Drosophila melanogaster: one gene and its partner. The protein of the gene in region 2 interacts with the protein of the main gene of each other region in a pairwise test. Each region holds a gene or a part of one and is shown on either strand. Other genes may lie near its edges.

Region 1 (3,717 bases), on a different chromosome or scaffold from region 2:
GATAAATATGTACAACAAATTACAAATTAATTACAATTCAAAATGGCCGCAGGCAGCCGCAATTATGTGATTTATGCGCCGGCTGTGCATCAGAAATCACGCATACGCCTCGTATGCCACCCTCATTTTGCCAATGCCTTTGGCCATTGCAATTGAACACATAATAAATAAAGTTGCTTGTTTTTCTACACACACACAAACGCACCCACACTCGGATGTTATTTGTGTTTTCCCAGATTATTAAAGTTATTTTCTTTGGCCGCCCCGCCCGCAGTTTCACCTGCTGGCACTTTTCCTTGCCTTGGAACCTTTTGTTTATGTTTACACACATGAATGTATAAATTACGATGCCAGGTTTTTGTAAACAAAACGAGTTTTGCCTGCGGGCCGACAGAACGGAGACCCCGCCTCCGGGCCACCGGCTTCTCCCGTTGGCCACATTTAAATATTTGCGCACGGAATTATTTTCCCTGGCATAAAGTGTGGCCAGGTAGACGTTTTACAAAGTCAAACAAAAGCTACCACCTCCACCTCATTCGCCTGCCGAGCTGTTAACCTCTGACCCCGCCTCATGTATTCCCCCTTGTCAGAACGATTTGTGTCCCCATTTTCATCCCGCCGTCTTTACCCCACCCACTCGGTCATTGGGAATTTTAATTAAATTTAAATGAAGATTTATTACACTTTTCTTTGGGGTCTGCCCGACCTTCAATTGTCCTTCGATTAAGCCGCAATTGAAAGCAAAATAATCGATTCAAAAACAAGAGCAATAAAATATAAAATATAAAATATTGAACGAACAAACCTAATAAAGCCTCTTCTCCCTCATGGACGGCGGTGGTCCATTGGTCGCCGTAGCTGTAGATCCACTATCCGACTCAAAGCCCGTGGGTCGCGAAAACGGTCTCGGACGGATGATGACAAAGTGGCAGACCAGTTTGGCGTCCACCACCAGAACAGCTCCGCAGTTATCAAAGATGTCGCAGTAGTTCGGGGCCGAGAAAATGGTGACCAACTGGCGGTCGGCGAAGAACTCGTAGCCATCCTCGACCACTTGGTGGGCGCGGACAATCAGGTTAAACTTGTGCTGCATGAGGAAGCCCTCCACTATGTTGGCTCCAAAGGTGAAGCTGACACCTCGATCGTTGGACGCCCACGTTCCGGTGGTCTCATCCGGATCCGACCAAAGCAAATCGCACAGCAGCCCATCGCTGGGCACATCGGTGGGGCGATTCAGCCGCCGGATGTCATCCAGGTTATTCAGATCCGGACTCAGTCCGCCGTGGACGCAAAAGATGCGATCGGCTATGATGGCGGCCACTGGCATGCAGTCATAGCAATCGACAAAGGAGCGCCACAACTTGATGCTATATCGTCGCTTGCACTCGTCGAAAAACCCATATACCCGATTCAAATCCGCCGATTCATGATTGCCGCGCAGCAGGAAGAAAGTCTCCGGATAGCGAAGCTTATAGGTCAACAGCAGCGATAAAGTCTCGATGGAGCAGTGACCCCGATCCACGTAATCCCCAAGGAATAGGTAGTTTGAAAGCGGTGGCACACCGCACTGCTGGAATATCCTCAATAGATCCTTGAACTGACCGTGCAGATCCCCGCAGATCTTTACCGGAGCACTCAGTTCGAGGAGCATCGGCTGGGATAGAAACAGCTCTCGGCTCGCCTGGCATATATATGTGATGGTGGCCTCGGATAGATTTCCGGCCCTCCGGTTTCCAACCGCCATCGTCTTCAGTTGACCGATAATAACGTCCAATTGGGACATTCGATTCTTTTCCTCCTTGGAGCTCTCCTTACCAGTTGATAAAACGGTCGAACGACGAGACATCGTTTTCTTATTTCTGAATTACGGATGGAGTGTTACAGTTTTCGTCTGGTAACTTTTCTTACCGAAAGGAAACACAAAGCAAATGGTACAACGTTATCAAAGCCTTCCCATCCTTTTGTAGCTTAGGCAAAATATATTCGAAAGTCAAAAACAACACTTCGTGTAGTTTTTTCTTAAAGCTTAAGTTGTTAACTGGAATTGGTATAAAACTGCACTTTAAAACTTAGTTGTTTCGCGTGAGTTTTTCACTCCGTTTACTTTAACATTTTGTTTCTCTGGCCGATAATCCGAATCCTCTCCAATTCACTTTGGCACTATCTTTTGCACCTCGACCGTTTCAATTATCAGACACTTGGCATAAATTTGGCAAAAACAAAAAGACGGAAAACATTAAAATGTTCGCTTTCGATAACAAAGCAAAAGCGCCGCAAAGTTGCTTGTTTACTCGCAGTTGACCCTTGAACCGCGTGGGCGAAGCCACCCACTCCCCCTTTGGCCACGAATCAAGGACCCAGCTGCATTTTGGCTACTCGTAATCCCGATTCACAGGGCTTCCTGCACTTGTAATGCGGCTTAAAGGAGTGAACGGGAGCGAGGAGCTTTTTGATAGCATTTCGGGCCATCTAGGGTTTTAAGTTCCCGCTCGAAAAAATCCTTTATTTCCCAGCCCAACGCTTTCCTGCAGTTCTCGGAGCGCATTTTGAATACATTTTTGAATCAGTGTCGACACTGTTTGCTTTTTATGTCACTCTCTTTTTTTGGACCCAACTCTCAGATCTCAGTTCGGACCCAGCTCCTTGTGTCCCACATCGCGCCCTTTTTGGATTTTATGCGATTTGTGTACTTCCGGCTGTAGTGGCTCCACCCGGGACTCATGTGTGTTTTACCACTCGGGCAACCTAAAAACCACTGGCAACTTTGAAGCCCACCGACCCATTTGTCCCGCCCAGAATGTATTTAATTGCAAGCGGCGCTCAAATAGGATTTGTGCATTGTTTTCTGTGGTGGATTTAATGCATGGCCCGGGGAAAAACCCATTTCCTCGCCCACTCCCGGGTTTGTTTGCATTTTTTCCTCAGCCACCATTCGGAATCTATTTTAATGTCAGTTTAATTCAATGCCCCAGCGGTTCTCTAATGCGCTGCGGGAGCTTTGAAGGGTTCCCTTGTGCGGCAAATGTAATTAAATTGTGGCCAAAGTGGGATAATCCCCATCGTTCTTTTCGATATGGGTACTTAGGGCATATATGGGACTATGTGATATGGTTTTAGAAGCAGCATTGCGGTTTAAAATCACACAATGAAATGCGAAGAATGCAATCAACGCAATTTCACGTGTTACTTGATTTGATGCGACCTAGTTTATAGAAAGTAAGCTATTATTTAAGTGGAAAACCCTCTTTTCGTTTCCATCTAAATACCAATTTTAAGGAATTTCAACTCAATCGCCTCACTGGGGACTCAAAGTCGAACAGCTTTCAACCGTCTCTCGAAATCTGAAGCAGTCAAAGGCGCTTGGCTTATTTCCGTTTCCGCTTGCTGCCATATTTTCCGAACCCCTCCGCAAAGCAGCTCCCCCTTTTTACCGCAGCAATGCAATTTTCGACTCGCAAAAAAGAAGAAAAGCAAAATCGCACGCTTGAATTTGGATTTGAAAAGGTTGAAATGCTGGGTGGAGTGCAAAAGGGTGTGTGTGTGTGGTTAGGTCAGCAGAACTGCTTCTCAGCTGCTGTTGTCGCTGCCTTTGTTGCGGCCATCCCATTGTGTCGCCGGAAATATTCAATTTTCAATTTTCATTTCGCTGGCCAGCAAAAATTGGCAAGCGAAAACAAAGGACGTGAACAGAGAGCAGAGCGAGAAAATCTGCTAAGC
Region 2 (3,262 bases):
AACGGCCAGAATGCTTAGCGAACGATCGCTGCTGCTCAGCGGATATGGAGCCATTGAGAGCAGTGCCAAGAAGCTGAGCGAAGCGGCGACCGGTGGTGCGGGTGGTGGTGGTGGTGGTGCGGCCGGTCAGGCTGCCACGCCCACTACCAGCCAACTAAGTGCACCCGCCTCCTCAGCATCCTCCTCATCCATGTCGTCCTCCTCTGCCGGCAGCACTTGCACCACCAATGCAAATACGGCATCGGTGGCAGCCGCCTATGCTGCTTTCTATTTGGAGAAGGTCAAGCATGAGAAGATGGACAATCATAAGGATGCACCGATGGTCACCATACACAATAACAACAACAACAACACCATCAACAACAACAACAGCAGTAGCAGCAGCAGCAGCAGCATCATCAACAACCATCAATCGAGTCAACCAAGTCTGGGCCACAGCGTCAAGAGGGAGCGGCTGAGTCCAGGGAGCAATAGCAGTAGCCACAACGGCGAACTCACCGTCAGCTCATTTGCCAGGTGAGTGGAAGTGGAAGTGGAAGTTCGGGGGTACACTCCGGAGAGACATGGCTTTATTGAATCATTGATTCATTGCATCACTGATTCGTGATATAGCCGTGACCCATGTGATCTGTTCGAATGATTCATTAGAGCAGCGCTCAACCGATCACATAACAAATTGGTTTGTCCACTCATATTGATTATAGGGAAAGATTTGGTAAAAGTACTTTATGCTAATTTAATTGAAAGGTAGTTTCGGTAGTTTTAATTAAAAATTAAAAAAAAATGAAACCAATCTCTATTCCGGCTTGCAATTGGCTTCACACTTTGGGTGATTCTCCGTGTGATCTTCATCCTCCGTATCCGCCATGTTGCATTGCTCGCTATGGCTGACGTAGTTGTAGTGCTCACGCCGCAACTCGAGAAACCTCATTCTTCGCCGGAGTCGCTCCTCCGGAGTTTCCTCGGTCACGACGAGGGTCTCGCTACTTGGCAACGCAATGACAACCGAGGGGGCACTTGAAATATCAGGACGGGGAGCGTTGGGGTGTCGCAGAATCGAGGGGGATGCACTGATGGTAGGATCGGAATACTGATCTCGAACTGCTCTCTGGTTGGCATCGTCGTCACTGGAATCATCATCCAACTGTTCCGGTTTATCTTTCTTATCCTTGTCAGACATATTCTAGAGACTTACATGGAATCGCTATTAAAATACGTAAATTTCTGAGCCATGTTGATTTGGAAAAGTAAAGAGAGATATCATTTCCCATTCGAACTTGCCACTATTTTGGACTATTTATCAAGCGAATTCAACGCCTGTCGACGCCTGACAAATTAATTAACATTTTAATAAATTAATACCTCGAAGAGAAACCAAACCGATGCGGCTTCTGTTCGCAGCCAATGGTAAATTAATCAAAACCACGAAACAAAAAAGCGGCCAACACGAATGTGTCTACACAAGAGCACGCTTTTGCTGTCAAAAAGAGGCAATAACAAAGAACCCGCCAAGAAAAGAAAAAGAAAAACAACTTGAAAAACTTGAATTTAAAAACAAATAAGACGAAAAAAAAAAATATAATAAGGCCCAGACGGCGACTAAATGTGATTTGACAAGCGAAATCAGCAGCAATTAATACGCGCAACTAAATTAATGGTGTTAAAGATTATATATTAACTAATATAAATAAAGCCAATTTATCTTCCGAGCGCAAAAAAAAAAAAAGAGAAGAAAAAAACCAAAACGAAATACCTTAACAAGCCTTAGGCCTTAGCAGAAAGATACAAAGATACATAGATACAAAGATACTAGTTGGGCCATATGATTTGGGCGAACGGCTGACCATATTAATATTAATGAGACATTCTAGACTATCGGCACCTGGGGTGTGGAAATTGAGTGGTGCGACCACGACAGATTCGGATTTACGTATAGTCGATTCGCATCTGGCCGTGGGTTCACTCAATTCGTCGGGGTGGTCGTCTGAAGAGAGATTGGATAAGCCGCATCATTTTCATAATTTATAATTGTTTATACTCAAATTAGAGTGGCTTATTAAGCCAGCCTTAATGCGATATGACAAATGAATGTTTAAGGGTCGGACAAATAACTGGTTTGAAGACTGTGTTTATATCATAAATACATTATGCGATTTTGGACTTTTGAAGAATTAATGTAAATTCGATGCGAATTCTTCTCACCTGTCGAATATAACTGATAAAATGTATCCCCTGACGAAATCACGAATGTTAAATAAATATAGTTATACACATAACTTGATTTTGCTACGTGACCATTGACAGAAATACGATGTCTGTCTGCTTCATTCAGTTTGTATTTTTTTTTTTTTGTTTTTATTTATAAACTTAATTTGCATATTTAATACATGTTCTTAATAGTATTGGAAGTTTTAAAAGATTTGGCTAGACTTTTTCCCTAGGCTTGGTCCAATGGCTTTTTAAGTTCTTTTGTTTTTTTTTTCACGTCAACCAATACTCTTTGGACATATGCGAAATCTTGTATCTTTTACAGATGCATACAGCGCGTTTCAAAACCATAAATGTTCTTTTGGAAATAAAAATGGTATTACTTTTTAAAATCTAATTAATATATTAGTTTAAAAAGTGCCTTACATATGCGTGGTTTTGACCTTAAGGTATTAATACCAAGTGGGTCTAGTTTCTATCGATGAAATTTTTGCTAAGAGCGCTTTGTCAGTTTCGAACCGCACCGTATTCACATACATTTATTTTTATTAGGGACTTTTTGGGTCTTGTGTAGGCGTAACAATAGACACCATTTGCATACCGAGGCGGGCACATGTTGCCGGTTGTATAATAAAAACCAATTAGGCATGCCACCGATCTAAAGATCTTAGACAACCAGAGCACCCAAACCGTTAGACACACATCGAGATTGGGTGAAGTCGGAACTGGGAGGGCGATCGGTGGCAGTAGCCAACATAATCGCCACCATAAACCATTTTTGCAATGCTTTTTTGCTTCCACTACTTTTTTTTTTGGGTTGATCTGGTTGCTGTTCAAACAATTGCCAAGAACAAGCAACAAAACACAACTAAGTAGCTGCTACCAATCGCCAAAGCAATTTGCAATAATCAACATTTTTAACAAAACCGAAAAAAAATTACTAAAAAAGATACAACAGAAAAAAATGAGACAAAAAAGAGCAACAAAAAAAAAAGTTGTAAGCAGCAAGAGGCAACAACGCCGAACCGGCAAACGAACAAAATAACAGCAAAAA

The links.
Region 1: the proteins of CG18666 (region 2) and PpD5 interact in a two-hybrid assay, tested with the Drosophila melanogaster proteins (2 studies listed by BioGRID).

Annotation. Positions count from the first base shown.
Region 1 is NT_033778.4:22,041,008-22,044,724, forward strand, and holds PpD5 (protein phosphatase D5), read right to left. Parts: upstream 1,939-3,717; 5' UTR 1,847-1,938; coding exon 806-1,846; 3' UTR 660-805; downstream 1-659.
Region 2 is NT_033779.5:11,032,770-11,036,031, reverse strand, and holds CG18666 (uncharacterized protein), read right to left. Parts: upstream 1,238-3,262; 5' UTR 1,181-1,237; coding exon 797-1,180; 3' UTR 724-796; downstream 1-723. Other genes in the region: Samuel (SAM-motif ubiquitously expressed punctatedly localized protein), read left to right, coding at 1-516.